4 linked regions of the Saccharomyces cerevisiae S288C genome follow. Changing the gene in region 4 together with the main gene of any one other region gives a genetic interaction. Each region holds a gene or a part of one and is shown on either strand. Other genes may lie near its edges. The genes, in order: CSG2, RIC1, SUR1 and GEF1.

The links.
Region 1: mutations in GEF1 (region 4) and CSG2 together harm fitness more than expected from each alone (negative genetic interaction), as found in Saccharomyces cerevisiae (2 studies listed by BioGRID).
Region 2: mutations in GEF1 (region 4) and RIC1 together harm fitness more than expected from each alone (negative genetic interaction), as found in Saccharomyces cerevisiae (5 studies listed by BioGRID, with this or other methods).
Region 3: mutations in GEF1 (region 4) and SUR1 together harm fitness more than expected from each alone (negative genetic interaction), as found in Saccharomyces cerevisiae (4 studies listed by BioGRID).

Annotation. Positions count from the first base shown.
Region 1 is NC_001134.8:308,271-312,753, forward strand, and holds CSG2 (mannosylinositol phosphorylceramide synthase regulatory subunit), read right to left. Parts: upstream 2,044-4,483; coding exon 811-2,043; downstream 1-810. Other genes in the region: Cu-binding protein SCO1, read right to left, coding at 2,295-3,182; chitin synthase CHS2, read left to right, coding at 3,628-4,483. UniProt on the Saccharomyces cerevisiae protein: Required for calcium regulation. May regulate calcium accumulation by a non-vacuole organelle. Also regulates the activity of CSH1 and SUR1 during mannosyl phosphorylinositol ceramide synthesis.
Region 2 is NC_001144.5:224,407-230,973, forward strand, and holds RIC1 (Ric1p), read right to left. Parts: upstream 4,191-6,567; coding exon 1,020-4,190; downstream 1-1,019. Other genes in the region: COX12 (cytochrome c oxidase subunit VIb), read right to left, coding at 515-766; AFB1 (Afb1p), read right to left, coding at 4,502-5,176; NFG1 (Nfg1p), read right to left, coding at 5,560-6,045.
Region 3 is NC_001148.4:450,784-455,082, forward strand, and holds SUR1 (mannosylinositol phosphorylceramide synthase catalytic subunit SUR1), read right to left. Parts: upstream 2,275-4,299; coding exon 1,126-2,274; downstream 1-1,125. Other genes in the region: LCL1 (Lcl1p), read right to left, coding at 2,647-2,952; LGE1 (Lge1p), read right to left, coding at 3,209-4,207. UniProt on the Saccharomyces cerevisiae protein: Involved in the synthesis of mannosyl phosphorylinositol ceramide. Catalyzes the addition of mannosyl to phosphorylinositol ceramide. Suppressor of RVS161 mutation.
Region 4 is NC_001142.9:505,789-511,354, reverse strand, and holds GEF1 (Gef1p), read right to left. Parts: upstream 3,610-5,566; coding exon 1,270-3,609; downstream 1-1,269. Other genes in the region: ribosome biogenesis protein URB2, read left to right, coding at 1-1,116; MLO127 (Mlo127p), read right to left, coding at 4,054-5,566. UniProt on the Saccharomyces cerevisiae protein: Anion/proton exchange transporter involved in iron and copper cation homeostasis. Involved in intracellular iron metabolism during growth on fermentable and non fermentable carbon sources.

The sequences.
Region 1 (4,483 bases), on a different chromosome or scaffold from region 4:
GAAAAAGAACGTCAGGGAACATGAGTATATATAGAAATGGTTTATTCTAGTTTTTTCCGTTTTTTCAGTAGATTTTTGCCTTTAAAAGAATAAATCCCACTACAAAAAGGTAAAATAAAAAATCTATTCACTGAACTTACTGATGAAATTTCCAAATGTGCCCCGTACATCGAACGATGTGACAGAGAAAAATACGAGTAGGTAAATAAGCCAAAAGGCAAGGGTGTCCTTTCTTAAGCATCGGTTAGGTTTGCGGGCGATCAGTAACTGAACAATGACACAAGATCAAGAACGTAATTTGAGATTTTTCAAGATGGTTTTTTTAGGTATCTATTAAAACTACTTTGATGATCAATACGGTATTTTTGTCGCATTATTTTCCAAGCGGAAGGAACCGTGTGTTCATTTTATGAATCTTGGTGTTGTATTCACAGCTACTTCTCCTAATGCCTTCGATGCATTTAGATAATTTTTGGAAACATTTTTTTTCTTGATGTATATTTTTTGTATTGTAGAAATCGCGCGTACTGTACTTGTATATCGCTTTATAAGCGCTTTTAATTGATTGTTCATGACGAGGATAGGCGGATAGGCGGAGGTATGCCTCTTAATATTTATAATAAAGCCCACCAAATGGCTTCTTCTTTTTAGAATATACAATATACAAATAAAAATAAAAAAATAGAAGAACATCCTAGTAATTGTCTTGAAAATAATCAAGATATTGATTGGGATTTTTTATTTAGGGAAACCAAATAATTGCATATGCTTGTTACATCATCATCAGTCATATAAAGTATGTTGTCCGTACTAATGGTGGTATTTACCTTCCCCGAGTGTTACTGATAGGACCAACAAACTTACCGTTAGCATTATGTATCCTATGACTTCCCATCTCACAATTGTGGTTTGCGTAGGTTCGCAAACCCACTCAGCTAACCCCATAAAGATAATAGCTCCCAGGTTGCACGTCGTCAAATACTCAGCAGGGGCCTTGCGATTCAACTCTAATATCGAAATCAAGCTCGGCAAGGAACCAAAGATAATCGAGCCTAGTAGAGAGAACCAAAAGCTCTTGTCATTATAGAACAACGAAATGGATTCCACAGACTCACGGGAGGGAAATTTAGGAATAAATGGCAAAAGTATTACCATGCCAATAATACCGATTAGGGCCATGTGGGTGCTCTGCTTAACCAAGACTACAGCAGAATTTTCGTTCTTGGAAATGTTACTGCAAAACCAACGGTTCCATAACACGGCAAAAGGACCCATAATCAAAGCACCAAGGCCGCAAATCAGAGCACCTTTCAACCTATCAAACAAGAATGGGTCAGAAAGTTCACCCGTGTTAGGGTTGACGGACAGCTTTCCGGCAAGCATGTCACAGGTAGCCTTCGTGTATGAGATGATCAAAATTCCAATGACCGCGTTCATCATGATGAGGAAATTACGGAAAACGTAGTTCTTCCTGGAGATTCCACAAACACCATATAGTAAAGTGACAATTTCGAAAATGGCAGTATTTTGCATCAAAGCAACATCAAATGCCGGTGACAATGACAAAGCCATGTTATAAGTCAAATCAGCGACAATCATTATGAGAGCCAGCACTGTTAGCTTAGCCACATATTTGAAGGTAGCCACGGATATGATTTTTTGCTTCTGCTGTTGGGCTGGAATCCGTGGTTGAGGATCATCCAACACGTGCGAGAACGTATCGACATCTTCGTTTGTCACAGACCCGCTGTTGTTGTTGTCAAACTGAGAATTCCTGTTCGAGTCTGAGTCAGAGACAAACATCGGTCTCATCTTCTCCCAAAGTCGAGATGCAGGCACCAAGAGCAGCCACGAAGCAAAATACATAAAGGTCAGATAGAAGGTTAATGAACTTGAGTTTCCGTTGTCGCCGTTAGTTTCAGGCGTTGCAATTGTACCATTGGGCCCCACGGAGATTTCCTTTTTAGATTGTATGTTAGACAAACATTTTGTTTGAATCACGTAGCCTATTACACTTGAAAACCAAAGTAGTGTGGTAGACATGACGCTGTATCTTTGTTTGTTATCGTGCTAACTCACCAGCTCAAGAGCGGATCTGTTCTGGAAGAAAATGGCCTACAAACATTTCTTTCACTTGATCTTCCCACGTTCACATAGCCTCCTTTAGAGTGAGAGAGCTTTTTTTTTTCTTGCGATACACCTTCGCCGGGTGATAGCCGATATTACAAGAACGGGTTATAGCGTTATAAGTATATATGTATATACAAGGAAGAAAGTAGCATATATTTACAATCTTATTTGAATAAGAAGGAGTACCATGCCTCCTTCTGCTTGGCGCGCTGCTCTGCAGGCACATAACTCTTAACGTGTTCCACGATCTTGTCCACGCCCGTTTTTTCATCATAATTTCTACCCAAAGCATCAACAAACTGTCCTTCAGGGTCCATGAGATAAAAGAAGATGGAATGGTCTACCAAATAATCTTGGCCCGGTTTGACGTTTGGAGGCGTAGAAAAGTATACTCTGTACTTCTTGCATGCGTTCTTCACCTCATCGAACGTCCCCGTCAAACCCAGGATGGAGGGATGAAAGTCGCTCAAATACTCTTTCAATACAGCAGGGGAGTCTCTTGCTGGATCACAAGTTATAAATAATGGCTGCAGAGTAATACCATACTTTGAAGAGAGTGTATTAAGCCATAGACCTAGCTTATCCAGTTCATCAGGACAGATGTCAGGACAGTTACTAAACCCAAAGTATATTATAGAAAACTTACCGAGAAGGTTTTTCTCCGTAAACTCATTGCCATACATATCCTCCAGATGGAAGGGTCCCCCAAGTGAAGGTTTACCGTATCCTCTGTTTGCTTCAGCCTCCTTCTGTGTTTCCAATCTGCGTTTCTCCCTGTTGAAGAAATAAGAAAGTGCCCCACCGACTGCTAGGAATAGAGCAATGGCCTTTCCCGTGGAAAACTCGATCGAGCCTTCTCGCACTTTGCCGTTATCCTTAATGGGAGTACCGCCCACAGGTACTCTGCTTAATGGTTTCTTGCCATTTGACTGCCATAAGCGCGTTACAGTAAAGAATCCCCTTTGAGTGAGCAATTTAGCGCCATTGCCACTTAATCTTGCGGCTGGCAATTGGACCAATCTTAGATTGGCACTTCTTGACAACTTCAGCATCTTTTCTACGTTTGCTGTTTTTTCTGTTTCCCTTGCCTTATACGAACATACGTTTCTAATGCCGATTATAAACACAATAGACACAATTATACTATTTTCTCACTTTTCTCTTCGGGAGATCGCTATTGATTATTATTCCCGTTTATTTCCTTCAATTTAGGGTCTGAAAAGAAGATAGTAGGGTTAGTTTTTTGGGGTTTAAAACCCTAGTATAAACCCCTATACTATTTGTTTATATATTTCCTATTTGAGTATGATAGCATCGATATTGAAATTTACAGAACTTCAATTTAGTTTCAATTGGGAATTCGAGGACTCTCCCTTGGGATGGCCCCAGTCTATTTAACTATCTTCCATAATATTACTGTTGATTTCGTGACTCAGAAGAGAAAACAGAGGAAGTTACATATAGACCCAAATAAAAACCAAAGAACCACATATAGAAATGACGAGAAACCCGTTTATGGTGGAACCTTCGAATGGCTCTCCTAATAGACGTGGTGCTTCAAACCTCTCCAAATTTTACGCAAACGCTAACAGCAACTCTCGGTGGGCTAATCCCAGTGAGGAGAGTTTGGAGGATAGCTATGACCAATCTAACGTTTTCCAAGGCCTTCCGGCATCTCCTTCGAGAGCTGCACTAAGATACTCCCCAGACCGTCGCCATAGAACTCAATTTTACCGCGATAGTGCCCATAACTCTCCAGTTGCTCCGAACAGGTATGCTGCTAATCTACAAGAGTCTCCCAAAAGAGCAGGCGAGGCTGTCATACATCTAAGTGAGGGGAGTAACCTTTACCCCCGCGATAATGCAGATCTACCGGTAGACCCCTACCATCTATCACCCCAGCAACAGCCCAGTAACAATCTGTTTGGAAGTGGCAGATTGTATTCTCAAAGCTCGAAATACACGATGTCTACTACTTCCACAACGGCTCCCTCTCTGGCAGAAGCAGACGATGAAAAGGAAAAATACCTCACTTCGACTACTTCCTATGATGATCAGTCTACAATTTTCTCTGCAGACACTTTCAATGAAACAAAATTTGAACTGAACCATCCAACAAGACAGCAGTATGTAAGACGTGCCAATTCTGAGAGTAAGAGAAGAATGGTCTCAGACTTGCCTCCCCCAAGCAAGAAGAAGGCACTATTGAAACTAGACAACCCGATACCAAAAGGTCTGTTGGATACTTTGCCTCGTAGGAACTCCCCTGAGTTTACGGAAATGAGATATACAGCCTGCACTGTGGAACCTGACGATTTTTTGAGAGAAGGTTACACTTTGAGATTCGCAGAGA
Region 2 (6,567 bases), on a different chromosome or scaffold from region 4:
CAGGAAGTGCCTTATTCTCAACATGTTCAGCGTTTATCTTTCTCAGCCTGAATGTATTTCAAACGATGACTAGAAGAGATTAGTACCCCTTATATAATCCTCGAAAATGTTGCTATCTCAGTGAATTGAAAGTTCATGCTGACGTCTTTATCAGCGTTATCCATTGCCTTGTTCTTTTCAGTGCAGTGGCAGATGTTACGAGGGTCAAATAATTTTTGAATATATATAGAAATGGCTACTTACTATAATTAAAAATAAATATGAAAAATAAAACTTCAGTACCCCACATCATTCTCATTTTTTTCTGTTTGTTTGATTTTTAGGAATTTGGCTCCATCATGAACATTCGTTAGCGTATGATATCACTTTTTCATTATCTCCTATTGTTACTTTACTTTTCATATAGATATCCTTCATCCCGTGTAGGTCTACTACGCAAAAATGAATTCTAGTAATTAATAATAATGATATAAAAAAGGCTAAGTGCACATTACTAAAAACGAAACTAAGATCCTTAGTCTGAGTTGATATCACCTGCGAAAATACCTTTTTCTCTTTGATCATCCCATTTTTCGATCCAGTCTAGGGGACATAAGGCGTTATAGGTCTTCCAAAAGACCTTGCACGGAGCAAAATCTTCGCCCTTCATATTAACACACTTGTGATAATCCACATAAGATTGCCAACAATGCTTTGTTTGGTTTTGTTGGGGAAATCTAGCATCGAAACCAACTGTATGTAGTGGAGAGTTTTCTTGATCAGCCATGTCTATTATACTGTATTTATGTGCTTGTTCCTATTTGTGAAAGCAAAGATACTTTATGTATTCTTACTAAAATATTTGTATATCTCTGCTAATCATTTTAATGCAACTTTTCTATCTGGTGCATCTTTCATCACCTTTTAAAGATCCTGAAGGGATGGGGATATCGGGCAAAACTACGCGCGACGCATTTCTGAAAATTGATTGGTCAATGTTATGAAGCTATATGGTAAAGAATACATGGTGTCATATAGATTTATTTGAATCTCTCGAGTGCTTTTTGAACCAATTGTGTGTTGTTTTCTCTGTCTAATTCCTTGAGTAAGCGTATTAATTGGAAACACATGTCCCACGAATCGGTAGCTTTAATTGGGTCTGTGGCGTTTGCAGCACTTGTCACCAAAAGCTCTAAGACTTTAAGCATTAATTCTTCATCCTTCAATAAATTAGTGACAGATTTCTCTGACTTTTTTGTAGAGTTATCATTTAGAGCTTTGCTTTCCTCAGTCCCTAAATCTGATTTCTTAAAATGTAGATCATCTCCCAAATCTTTCTCATCGTAATTTAAAAACACTAACAGAAGTACGCCAAGCATTTTAGCCTCATTTTCTTCGATACAGAGTGCTAATAAATCTCTTGGTGTCATCTTTAGATTAGTGAATAGATGGTTCCAGTATTTAGTTTCGATCTTCCTTAAACAATTACTAATAATTTCTAACATACCACTGTGGGTTGGTGGTGAAATATTATGCTCAGGATCGGTGTTGTCATACATCTTAATTAATTTCAGGATATCATCCAAAGAGTCGCTTCGCAGTATTTTAGTAGACAAAATCTTTTCGAGTGCAAATTTGTAAGGCTTTAAAAAACGATAATTGTGTGAAATATCCTCCAAATCTGTGTTGTCTTCTAATTTGGCTAAGATTAATTGGTCGAGGTATATTTGGTGTTTCACCACCAATTTGGAAAATCGCGCGTTAAAAATGCAGTGAAGTGTATGTGTTGTAGCTGTTTCTGGGGTGGTTGATATTGGATACAAATCTTCTTCGATTGGAATGGAAACTAGTGGCTTTTTATCATCCCATAAATCTTCCAAAGAGTATACGACGTAATTATGGCCTTGAACTACAAATATTTCGTCCCTGATAACATCGATTATTTTTTCTATGTTATCCAACAAAGTTAAGGTTTGCCAGCCCCCTCCATCCACTTTGCCAAGCTTTATAAATTTCCTATCGGCAAAAAATAACAAGCCCTCCTTCATGTTAATTATCCACTCAATTTTGTTGGGTAAAACATCAATTGGAATGTTAATTTTGAGATACTGGTAGAATTTTTTGATGATGTTTAATCCACATGGATGTACAGTAGAAATTACATCGAAGACAATTGTCTGTGTATCAGTAACTAAAATAATCTCGGCAGTTTTAAGCAATGCATCAGGTTGTTTTTCAGAAGCATTGTGATTCTTGGATTTCATTTTCAACAACTTATACCGGGATAAAGTATTAACATGTAAACTGAAAACAATCGTATTCTCTGGAACATTGTATTCCCACATGACATAATCTGATAGTTCCACGTCCGGATTCGCTTCTTGCAGTGGAATCTGCAGACATTTCAGATTTGTTGAGCCATCATCATTCTTCATATGACAAACCAAATAATTATCACCTAGCCAATGTAAATCCAACACGTTTTGGTCAGCAAAACTAGACCACATATTGGTCTCTAGATTGTGGATAAGCAGTATGTTTTTGTTCGACACATAAGTAGCAAATAACCTCAAGGAAGAATTAATTTTTACAAAAGCAATATGATTATTGAAAGTCTTTGTAGGAAGTTTTATGACTTGTAAATTATCATTATTGATTGAAGAACTTGTCACAGGTGAATATATGATTACATCATTGTTCGTATTGGTTAATACGTAACATTTTGGGTTTCTGAAATCAAATTGTGTTTGTTTTATTTCTTCCCATAATTTCCAAACTTGATATTTTCCGGAATGAGACACTGTTATTAGTGATTTATCCAAGCATACAAAATCAGAAATTTTATATTCAGCCGCCTTTTTCTCATTTTTATCCTTGCTGTTGTCATTATTGTTATCACCATTATAATCATCTTCGTCAAAATATGTAGCGAATAGCAGATTCCCAAATTCTGTGTAAAAATGAATGTTAACACTATCCTCAGAAACCAAAAGTAATATTTTATCATTAATTTTATCGCAAAGTTTTATCACAAATGGTGGTTTCCAAGAATGGCTTACTTTTTTAATTCTTGTATCAAAGCAGATTATTTTTTCTTTGTAAACGACCACCAGGTATCCATTAACTTCTAGGCAAGTCAAAAGTTCATCTGGTGTGTCCGTTAACGGTATTGCTTCAACAGCTTGCTTTTCAATGTCTATAATGCTTACAATAGTCTGCTTTTCGACGGAATCATGAGATAAAACCATTAATTGTTTATTACACACAATTGTCTTGGATCCCTTCTTCACTTCAACCAACGAGCTCTTGCTAACTTTAAAATCCGATATTGTAAGTATTTGTAATCCATGAGGGAATAAAACTATCAAAACTTCTTCATAACGCCCATCCCCGACTTTGGAAAATGTCTTGATGCCAATCATGTCTATGATTTCATAGTCAAATTTAAGAACTACTTTTAAACGAAGTTCTAGTTTTTTCACGGGGAGTTCATCAATGTTTTCTTGATTAGAAAGAAAGTGTAAAAACCCTTTTTCCTTAGTTATGCCAAATCCATTCTGTATAATTCTTGAAGAACTATTTTTATCAAATACCGTGAGAGTATCATCATCGTTGTTATAGTCATATTCAGCACTGTTCGCTTCTTCTTCACTCATTAAAAGAGGCTCTATGACGGGTATGCCGTATTCTTTGAAAATTATTTCATTTGTGCAGTTTTTTAAAATTTGGTATGTTAAAAGGAAGTTTTTATCAGTCATTACGTAAAATATCAGCTTTCCCTGGTGCCACAATAAGTATTGCGAGTCCTTTTTTGAAATAAGCCCTTCGATGATATCATTATATGGAGCTGATCGTTTCATTGATCTGTTATCGCCAAATTCCTTAAGAGAAGCCATTGTTCGTTCATGGCTAGCTACTAGTGCCATTGGTTTGAAGTTGTAAATGAGCACTCTTGTTGGGGTTAGCATGATAAGAACATTGGCCTGGGGTAGTGTCATTGATTGAAGAATATTGCAATCATCTATTTTAGTACCCTCACCTAATTCGGCGTTGCGGGGTGGAATTCTAAGCAATTGGGGCGGACTGACTGGCCATAAGTGCATTTTCCACGTGTTCAGTTTCTTACAGCTTCCGGTCAATAACACTCTTACCTTACCTTTTTTTTTGTAGAGGCATTTAGGTGTATTTTTTTCAGACTGTTTGATGAACATCAAAGGCGTCGGTATTGCCGAATTAACATCAAAGAACAAAAGCCTGCCATAAAACGACAGAAAAGACAAGATTTTGGCCAAGATGGCAACGCCATTCAGAAGTTATAATAATATGTTAAAAATAAATCGTTTGATACTGTACAAAGTTGATGTTCATCGTTGTCACTAAAAACGCTCTTAAAATCGAATTGTCCATTGAAAAAGTACATACTTATATACATATTTGTATAAATAATACACATATTATAAAAAAAGCGAAAAGGGATGGCGGACCTCCCATGGAATTAAATTGTCAAATTTGGTTGAGGCACTTAAAGGGCAACTGCAAAGATTCCGAACAACGCCATGGGGAAATATAAGCTTTTGGCATGGGCACCATTCTGTGATTGACTAGTTCTGGATGTTGAAGAAGAGTTTGATGCGGATATAAGTGCTGTTGTACTGTTTTCTTCATTAGCCATGGAAATCATGGACTGGCCTGCGTTCGCTGTCGAGAAAGGAACAGAATTGGAAACGGAGTTTTTTTGGCTGGCATAAGATGAGTTAGTCATGGTAGCTTCTGTCTCACCTGTTATGAAGTGTTGGGGAAGGTATATGGTGGTGGCGGAGGCTTTGTTTAGCAAAGAGGTATACCATGGAAAGGCCGTAATGAATGTTTGGAATTGAGTGAACGGAAAACTCTGAGCAATATCAGATTGTAAATCTGCTGTTGAGGCCAAATCAACCATGTGATAGTAGTAGTCAGCAACAGGTTGAGGTAGGGTTAAATGGTTTTGCATCATGTATGAGGTATACTGTGGAAAAGCGGTGTCGAAATCGTTTAAAAACTCCATGAAGAATGCCATGTCTGCATCTGCAGCTGCGGACCTGGCAAGTGTATCGTCATTGGAACTAGACGTTAAAGTTTTGGCAGCAAAACTGTGGCTGATTAGAAAGCTTACCAGGAGAATATTTTTAATGAGGGAGAAAGAAGGAGCAAATATCATTGATACGCAATATTTTCAGGAATGTTGTAAATGGTTCGTAACTGGATATCGAAATCACTTGATTAGAAACAATACGCCGGAATATGATCAGGTAAAGCAGAATAACAAAGAATAAACTTTCTCGATTGAGAGTGTCTTTTTAAATCATCCAAGCTCTTGAATTTTCTAGCATAGCCTTGGATGACAGCAATAAAAAATTTGCCAGGATTTTTCCCTATTTGGGCGTTCAATGAAGATAACGTTTGAAATATTAAAAACTAAAAAAAGAAAAAGGTTTGAAGCAATTAATAATTTATTAAGTTTTTTTTTATTTATCATACTTAAGAATATGGAGACCACGGGTTTTCTTACACCTGCGAAGACCTTGAACCTAATATATTTGTTTAAGAAAACAAATAAGCGATTGTTTCTAACATTAAAACGAAGTAAAGACATGGCTTGACTGAACCTACACCTCCTGTGCTTGTACTTGAACTTATAGTATTAGTTGTTTGAGAGCTTTTTGTTTCATTTCTCGACGAAGAAGGCAATGGCGTGAACTGGGTGACTACCGTAGAATTTGAGGATTGGTAATTTATAGATGTTATGACGCTGGAAGTGACTTTTGGTATAGACGACGATGATGAAGAACCGGTGAAATTAGCAGCAGCTAATGAACCAGTAATAATGCTGGAAGAGGTGGTGCTTGGAAGATGAAGTAGTTGATCGTTAGAATTTCCAGTGTCAAGAAAGGTGTATTGCACTTTCTGTCCAAGGGCAGTATTCAAATCCTGAGCATTTGAATCTGTGAGAAGTTGCGCTTGAACAATGAACAGTTGTAGTAGCACAATTGGGGCGAAAGCTAAAGAGCCAAATTGACTGATCTTCATATTTTTTTTGATTTGTTGACGAGCTATAGGATGATGAAACGGAGGGATATCAAAGTACGTTCTTCAAGCTTACAATTTCTCAAGGTGCTTTACTGGTCAAGATATTCAATATATAGCTAAATATTTATACAAAATGTTTGTTGACGGTTTGTTTATAGTGTTTTCAAAACACCACGAAAAGACTTCATTCTTGCATTCTTTTTTCTACAAGATGAGTCTATACATCTGAAACTGCGACGCCATTTTTTCCGCTGTTCGGGGCATTCTTGGCCAAATCCTCGAAAGAAATAAAACGTCAAAAGTAAAAAAGGTGGGCTAGACGAAACGTTATTATACGTCATAATTGTAGCCGTGTATGAGTGGGTGGAACTTGTATAAATAAACAAGTTCTTACTTATCATATTCTCGCATGCAATGAAATTCTCCAGATTATGACGCTTAGGTCTGGCCAGACGGCTAATGAGGTCCAGAGGAAATAGAAGGATTGTAAGCGGCCTCCACTAAATTTTGACCCCTCATACA
Region 3 (4,299 bases), on a different chromosome or scaffold from region 4:
TTGTATGAGCCATAGCCGAAAGATCGAAAAAGTAGCAGATCCCAAACACTTTACGGAAAAAAATCGAGAAATTCCGGCGAATCGGCTCTTAACGGATGCAGGGTGTCAGTCTGATGAGCCATAAAAAGAAAGATGCACCATTGCCAAGCTGCCCTGAGGAAGGGTTTTGGTTACCCTGTGAGATGGATGCGGTAAAATGACCAAGGGACCGGTTGGTAAGGGACCAGGTTAGGAACCGTGAGCGGCGAAAAAAGCGCGCATTTGCACAATTATATTATTAACAGGTGCCTGAATTTTAAGAACCGTCCACCATCACAGGTGAAACAAATCAACAGAGTCCTGCCGGCTGGTAAACAATCCATCTTTGGTTTAGAGGCCACTATCGTCAGAATAATATAAGGTCTATTTTCGGCGCGAAAGTCCTGATGAGGTAAATCGTAGTCAGGCGCCTGAAAGTCTAAACTAAACAATTGAAAGCCGAAACCGAAACGCGGAAAAGTAAATGGCACTCTTCGAGCGGCTACTAGTCGAGTAATTACATTTCTAAATTAGTCTGTGCAATAGGGAAAAGAGAACATTCTTACTCCGTTGCGATGTTTCTGAGCATAAGGCGCGCGCAAAAGCACGCACGCATTGACCGGAGCGGCGCCCACACACGGTTGTTATCCTAGTTTTTGTTGTGAGGAAGTGTTCATATTCTTTTAGGTTATATTTATATATATATATATAAAAGTTGAATGTAAAATGCAAAACAAAGATATCGTAGTATAGAGGGTAATATCACAGTAATAAAACAGGCCTGGTTTGAAGAATGATTATGTTGATGCTGGAGGTCGTAAATTGTAACATGAAATAGGGAGCATGCGAAAAAAAAAAATGACGAGCAAAAAAAGCAAGGTAGACAGGCGTGCCAAGCGGAGTAGTATGTCGTAAGAAGCGAGCAAATAGTACTCCTTGTCTTGCAAAGTAGCGAAGTACAAGACTGGTCTTCAGGCTGCTAGAGATTTGTATCAATTTTGTATTTTTTTTTCATCCCATGCAATTTTCCTTCCCATTTCTTTTGCTTTTTTTGCCGCGAATTGAAATATAAAGTCTGATATGAATTGTTGGAGTCATACCATTCTCTTACGAGCTGTTATTTCCCAGTGAGTACTTAGAAGAATCATTCTTTTCTAAATCGTAAACATCACTTTTCCTTGAAGATTTTAGTAACACTATGTTTGTATTGGAATCTTTCCTCAATCGTTTCTGCTGCCTTGCCAGCAAAGTGGCACTGGCAGTATCACTGGTACTTTTACTCAACTTTAGTCTTAAGCCTAATGAATTTAGAATTGTGACAAATCTTACTTTTATAGCATTAAGTTTCCAATTTTTGGTTAGATTACTGAAATTCTTGGAACACAACCAGCAATAGAACGTGAATTCACCATATAGGATAAAGAAGCCAAAAATAAATCCGGTAACGACGCAGGATAAGATGTGGTTTTCTAGTGCTTTCATCAATTTTGCATCATCTAAATGCCATGAAGAGCCTTTAGTAATGGAGAAAAATGAATAACTATGCATCTTGTAGTAAGCAGGTTGTAGGATTCTTACTGTCCCGTTCTTAGGTATGCGCCATCTTTTGTACTGCTTCCAAATAACACTTAAAAACAACGGACCAGTAGACCCCATAATAGTCATGTAAGGGATAAACCAGTACTTGTCATAGTGTTTCAAAGACTTTAAAGCCTTTAAAAAGAAGGGATGTCTAGGCACAGAACCCATGACATCGTTTGAGACACCTAAAGGTGAAGTCTTTCTTAAGAAGGCCGGGAAAGCTAACAAAGGATCTAGTTTCCTTTCGCAGCCGTCATCTAAATCGATGTATACACCACCATAATGGGACAGGATAAAGTAACGAATGGCATCGGCACGTTCTATGGGGTATTTGTAGTTCTCAAAAGTATCGAGAAACCACGGGTATTCTTCCTTTATAAACTCATAGGCCATCTCGTCCGTCCATAGGATGTACTTGTAATCTGGATGTAGATCGAGACATTTTTGTCTACCCTCTTTCCAGTGCTCAGGGATGTCTTCCGTTTTATAAGTCTGATGTATGATTTTAGGTATTAGTTGAGGCTTTGGAGGTGCATCTGGATTTAAGTCTTCCTCAAGTATAGCATCTTTAACAGTATCGTCAATACACAACGTTAGCAAATCGAAAGTGTAGTATATTATAGATAACAGGAGGAGTATGTTGAAGCAGATAAGGTATTTTAATTCTTTTCTCATCGTGAGTGCAACAGCGGAAAATCAGAAAAATAGAGTAAAGCAAATATGCGAAAATGAAAAGTGTCTTCCGATTTATTGTTTGTTTGTATGTGTTTATTTGAATCCGATGATGAATATTACAACAGGTTAAAGAAAACAAAACATGCGAAGCAAAATATGACGGGAATGTTGGCACCTTTTATTTAACTATATTAGAAAAGAAAAAGCAGAAAACGTAAAATATCTGCGTAAGCCTCCTCCCTGTGTCTTCACTCCTCTAACCATTTTTTCCAAGTAGAAAAGTTTATATATAACAAGAGGGGAAAAAAATGTGGAAATTGGCAGTGGACGTGAGAACAAAAAAGCACCGCTGAAAGGCTTGGCCAAGGAAGTTTAGAAAGGCGATAATAACGAGGTAAGAAGAAAGAAAAAAAAAGAAAAAGATGGCTTAGCAAAAGATTGGTTTTTATCCCGGGGGAGTTGTTGTGGCCGGGAGCAAGAGAAGAGACGCAGCAAGCGTGGGTCAATGATAATGACGCAGCGCGACGCGACGCGACGCGAATTCAAAAGTGTGAGTTTGCTCGGGGATAGTAATAATGCGGGGGGGAAGACGAAACAGACCGTGTGTGGTGTGGGTGGGATTTCGTGGGAGCACGTGGCGAGCAGAGGAAGAGCCTCACACAATGCTGCGTTCTTCATAAAGGGGATCAAAGCAAATAGATAATCGATTCCAAAGACAGATGGCTGACACGCACTTTCACAGTTTCGCAGTTTTTTCTTTTTTCGTAGTCGCTTTCCTAGTCGCTTTCCTGGCTCTTTACCTAATCGGGCTTAACCTAGCAGTACCTTTTCTCGATTCATGAAATCAAAACGCTAGTCACTTCCTTATAATTTCCTTTTTCAATTTCCGCCGCTTGCGTTTACGTAGTTTATCTATTTATAGGTACGGTATACCCTACTGCATTAATAACAATGAGTCCAGCTTTTCTTGGGTCAGTTGAATATTTAATGCATGCTTGTCGCACTGGTTATTTAGGAGCCGCAATTCTAGCTCATTAGAATTGATTTTTAGGTTTAGTTCTTCCAAAGCGGAATCGATGGAATCGCTCTCTTTGAAAACTTCCCTCGCCTTTTCACATTCACTTTCGGTGTTGTTTGTCTTTTTCACATTTTTATCAAAATCTGTCAAGTAAATAAAGGGGGAATCTTTCATATCTAGTATTCTTTTCTTCTTGACGACGCTGCTGCTAGAGCCGTCGCTGTTACTTCTATTTTCTGGTACGTGTACTGGGTAACCCTTTGCATAATAGCCATTCGATGGGGGAGGCGGTGGTGTCTCACGGTGGTGGTAATTATTGTAAGTATGGCTGCTGGAATATGGATAAGCACTGCTGTGATATGATCTATTGTTGGTTATAGACGATACTGAAGGTGGTGGCGGAAGCCCGTTGCTGGTGCTGCTAGTGCTGCTGTTCCCACTACTACCATTTCTGCTGCTGGTGCTGCCAACGCTCATCGGTTGTTGGCGTGGATGATCTGCCTGCATGTTCCGGTATCTGGACTTGACTCTTTTTTCGTCATTATCTTCTTGCGAGGCGCTCGTGGTCCTGCCGTTCGTATCTTGACTATTGCCACGTTGCGGTAGGTGGTACGAATTTGTACCATTGTTGTACCTGGGGGATGGTTGTGCTTGGTAATGCCTGCTATTAGCTGAATAGTACGGCCTTGTATCTGTGTATCCGTTTCGATAGTATGCTCCGGTTTGTCTCAAGTCTCCCTCTTGGGGCGGCTGCTCATAGTCACTGTTGTATCTCGCGCCATAAGACGCATTACCGCCTCTGTAATACGATCCGCCTGCTCCACCTCTACTTCGTCTCGCATGGTGATAACCCCCCCTTTGTCTCGGAGGAGTGGATGAGTATCTGCTATAATTATTTCCCGTGTATCCGCTCATACTTTACTGCGGTTTTTTGGTCACCTCTTCTGCCTCGTAATAAATGTGGTGTTCTTTCCTTTCATCGCAGTTGATTCATTCTCTCTGATGAA
Region 4 (5,566 bases):
TCAATGTCTACATTGTACAAGATTATAACGACCGGACAAGGCGATATTTCTAAGCATAAATCGAGAATTCTGGATATATTTTCCAAAATTATGCTTCGATATCATTCTAAAAAAGTGTACCATGCGCCAGAAGAACAGGAAATGTTTTTGGTTCATTCACTCCTTACAGAAAACAAGTTGGAGTATATTTTTGCAGAGTACTTAAATATTGAGCATACAGATAAGTGCGATTCTGCCTTGGGGTTCTGCTTGGAAGAAAGTCTTAAACAAGGTCCTGATGCGTTTAACCGCCTGCTCTGGAACAGTGCTAAATCGTTTTCCACCATTAGCCAACCTTGTGCTGAAAAATTTGTGAGAGTTTTTATCATAATGTCAAAAAGGATTGCAAGAGACAATAACCTTGGTCATCACCTATTTGTGATAGCTTTACTTGAAGCCTACACCTATTGTGATATAGAAAAATTTGGCTACAAGTCATACTTGCTACTGTTCAATGCTATCAAGGAGTTCTTAGTATCGAAACCATGGCTATTCAGCCAATACTGTATTGAAATGCTGCTTCCTTTCTGTTTAAAAACTCTCGCTTTTATAGTAAACCATGAGTCAACGGATGAAATCAATGAAGGCTTTATTAACATCATCGAAGTGATAGATCATATGCTATTAGTTCACAGGTTTAAATTTTCCAATCGTCACCATTTGTTTAACTCCGTTCTTTGCCAGATACTAGAAATAATAGCAATTCATGATGGTACATTGTGTGCAAATTCAGCAGACGCCGTAGCCAGACTAATAACGAACTACTGCGAGCCTTATAATGTATCAAACGCTCAAAATGGGCAGAAAAATAACTTAAGCTCAAAGATAAGTTTGATAAAGCAGTCCATCAGAAAAAATGTACTTGTGGTTCTAACGAAATATATACAGTTGTCTATTACGACGCAGTTCAGTTTAAACATAAAAAAGAGTCTGCAGCCCGGTATTCATGCGATTTTTGATATATTATCTCAGAACGAGTTGAATCAATTGAACGCTTTCCTTGACACACCTGGGAAACAATATTTCAAAGCACTTTACCTCCAATACAAAAAGGTTGGTAAATGGCGCGAAGATTAACTTATGTGTTTTAGTGTGTTTTCAAAAGGCATTTCTCTGCTCACGTTTAATAACAGGGTGACGGAGCTTAAACAAGTAAAAATTGATAAAAGTCTGTATCATATAATTTTGAATAATCTATACTAGCGCCTTAAAAATTACATAAATGTCTAATCATATAACGTTACCATTTCGATTAGTGGTAAACCTTTTGATTATGAAATGGATAACTGACCAACATCTTCTATCAAGTGCTTCATTATATGTAAATTTCGCACCGTGAACTTCTCGATACTTAATTCTTTTGAACCTCAAAATATCTTTAGCAGTGACCAACCCCTTTAAAATTCCACTTTCCTCTACGATGATAGTCTTACAACCTAGCTCTTTAAACATACGGAATAACAATGTTACTGGCACCGCCTTCTTCACCGAGATTGGAGATTCATTCATAATATCCTTAAATCCGATGCAGTTTTCACGATGTCCCAACTCTTCGTTAGACTTATTGAAGTATACCAGTGTCGTTTGAGCTTTGGTGCTATTTACGCTTTGCATCATGATTTTACTGGCTAAGTGCCTTTTTAAAACATAGCCAATACATCTTTTTTCCTTCTCAAACTTATCCTCATCCTTAGTTATTGGAAAACCATGCACAGAATATTCAGACGCTGAGTCGTACAACAAAGATTCAAGCTCGGAAAGGTAAATGGTTTCATTAATAGTAATTAATTTGGAGGACATGAGCTGCTCTGCAGTGTATTTTTCTAAGGTTTCCTCCTCTTCCTCGTCTTGCTCGTCTTCCAAATATGGGAATCCATTAACCATGATCATTTGATCAGCAATACCGCCAGAAATACCAGACGTGCTTAAAATTATCCTTGTTATTGCCACTACAATCATAAGGGGTATGATATACATGAAGGCGCCTGTTAGCTCGAACATTATTACCACCACAGTTAAAGTCAAGTTAGTTATCCCGCTCAAGGTAGCGGCTGCTCCCAGGAAGGCGTAGGCACCAGGAGTAATAACAGAAGGGCCACTTATAAATCTCTCTACCAGTAGACTTACTGCCCGTCCAAATGTGGCCCCAACCGCCATTGAAGGAACAAAGATTCCGGCAGGAACTCTGGCGCCATATGATACCACCACCAACAAGGCCCTGATAACAGTGGCAAAGCATAGGGAAGTAAAAATTTTTAAGAACTCAAAAGCGTGCGTATTTTCATCCAACTGACATAACCTATGACTAAAAGTTGAGGTGTTATCGTTCTTGACACATTCATGAAACAATATACCCATACTTTCTGTCATGTCTAATTTCAAGAACTCATTGAAGTAAGAAATCAAAGCAGTAAGCGTCGCCAAAAAAAGCACTTCTTGAACTGGCCATGAGGACAGGTACATTTTGCGAAAGTGAATAAAGTTGATGTTCCACTTACTAATATATTTTCCATATAAACCACCAAAGATTCCTAAGGCTATAAAGATCGGAATCTCTTGTACCTTCCAGTCTCTATCATATGTTACATTGAATAAAATAACTCTGCCATTCCTAAATGGATCAATGTACTTCAAAGTAGTTATTGCGACTAGGGCGACATAATAGGATTTCCATAAGGTAGAGGAGTTAAACCTATTCGCAGAAGCAATCTCTTCCAAACCAAAAAGGACACCACCAATAGGAGCACCAAAAGCAACCGCAACACCTGCTCCACTAGCTGCTGTGATATACTCATATTGCGATGAATACGTCAAAGTATCTCTTAGTAGCCATTTTGTGAGTAAGTACCCACAACAGGTTGCATAATGAACTGAGGGCCCTTCTTTACCTACGCTTAATCCCGAAGAAATAGCCAAAGGAAGGGCAACACTTTTAATGACTAATGTTAAGAAACCCAAAAATTCCTTATTGTATTCAAAACCTGATACCCATACCTTAATCTCTGAGATTCCTGAACCAGTAGCCATAGGAGCAACATATTTGACTAACAGTGTACTAATTAGAGCAAATAAGACTGACAAAAGCATGAAAATTATAAAAGGGGACACATGTCCCTTCCAGGCAATCCAAAGCCCTTGTGCCTCGCATTCAAACTCTTGTCTTTTCAGTAGTAAATTGCTTGTAGAGGTAACCTCATTAACCACGCCGTTACAACAGAAGGATTTATTAAGTAGCCAGTTCCTCTGACAATGACCTGTTTTCCAGTTAACCAGAGTTTCCGTGAAGACTTGTAGGAAACCAGCAATACATCCAATAACTATGGCCGTAGAGCTTAATGTGATAAATGTTTTTGCACGGTCCCATATAACCTCTCGGTAATGTCGATATTTTGAATTAAGGAACTCCCTGTCCGAGTCTACAGACAGTGGTCTATTTTCCTCAGCAATCTTATCAATTGTAACAAATTGGTCAAAATTTTGCGTTTCTGGAATATTGGTGAATCGATTGGTGTCAATGACATCTTCACCATCCCCAATTGGTTGATTTATTGGCACATAAGTTGTTGGCATTAGTGTCAAATAATTTTATAGTATGCAAGATCAACATTCACCGCCCTTTCTATACGGTGTGCTTTTATGAAGACTGGAGAACAGGCGGTGCTTTTCCTTTTTTTATGGGTTCGAAATCGCGACATTTCTGTCCTTAATAAGTGAAAATCATATAAATCTATTTACTAATAATGATAGCCAATGTGAAGTGTTTCTTAAGAAACACGTAAAAGGCTCTTAAGAAATCTTTGAACTACAAAACCGATCTTATTTGAAATGTGTGATAAGTATCATTTTTCGGACAGCATTCGGTCCTACGGTCATGGCCATATTATAGCGTGTATTTAACAATGACTTTTGCTAAACGAAGAACAAACAAAAACAACACCGCTTCAAGAATTTTACTTGAAAACTATACTAAAAAAGGAAAGTAAATTTGTAAGTGTATATATCATAACGTAGACACTAAATTTCAGATATTACAGTGTGATCATCCATTTGAGGATCGAGGAAGCCCAGGAACTTTTGAACCGACCGCTTTGCGAAGACAGCTTTCTTTTCTGATAAGATATGTAATGAGATATCTGACTCTTCATGCAGGATTCCGATCACATAACAACCGTTAGACAAGGTACTTACTAAGAATAAGGGCATAAATGTAGATTCGCCTAAAAACGTGCTCATTCTGGAATCAGTAGTTCTTACAGAGTTGATGGTTGTAACTTGCTCAGCAACATGGTACACTCTTTCGTCTATTTCTTCCTCACCATCAAGTTTTAAACTAAATAACGTGAGCTTTTGATCACCGTACGAAATTAGTAGATACCTAATATTCTTGAAAGTTATAGCGGCTGCACCGGTAAACATTTTCCCGGTGTCGGTAATGCTATTGATGAGGTCCCTCTCAAATAAATTCAGAGGCTGTACCTGCAATTGAACCTTTTCTATGTTACCGTCTGTTGTATGGATGACATTGAACCTCATCACACCTTTCCGTACATCAAGTAAAATCATTTCTTCCAAATAAACCCATGTACCTATATTTTGCTGCTTCCTAGCCATCTTTGCCTTCCTTTTATCAAAAAATATAGATGATGTTATTGTAATACCAGAAATATTCAACCTATTTGAAACCTGTTCAATACTGAACTTGTTATCATGAACTGAATAGTTCAGTTGATAAGCTTGCACAAACTCCCCATAAACCAAAACACATCCATTGTAATAGTTATGTAACCCACTGATTGAGAACCCCGTGTTAATCCCAAAAACAAATTCAATAAAACCCGATTCCTCATCAAATGAAAACAATAATAGGTTATTCATATTTTTACTATCAATACCGTCTATTGAGTCTAAATTTAGAGACACCAAGATACATGAATTGAAAATCACTTCCTTATACAGCTCAGAAGTCTTTCTTTTTCCTAATGTTTCGGTTCTTTTGAGCATGGGTACGGCAATAATATCTGATATCATAGCGTTTTCATATTTTATACTCTCGATATCATTGTTGAGGTTAGAAAAATTGAATGCGGAAATGTTTTTGAACTGTTTAATATCATACACATAAATTTCGGAATACTTGTCCTGCAATGGATTTGCTACTGGCAGGGCCGCTACAATCACATATCTTGATGAAGATTCCAAAGTTATAAATTTGAGACATGTTTTTAAAACTTTTTCAAACTTAGAACAAAGAGTAGCCCTTCCGGCATCACCAGGAACAAGTACGTCGTAAAATTGACCTTGAGAAGTAACCATAACAACTGAGCCATCTTTTTCTCCAGGTATCAAACAGCTTATAGGACATGGTGCATATACTTCTTGGATTTTAAATCTACCTTTTATTTTACTTGGCTTGAAAAAAATTATAGTATCGGCTGTATATATAAAAAAATAATCTGAGTTAGGGACTTCACAGAACTGTAACTTCTTCTTGCAAATTTTAACCTCTTCTACGATCTCAAAAGTTGCC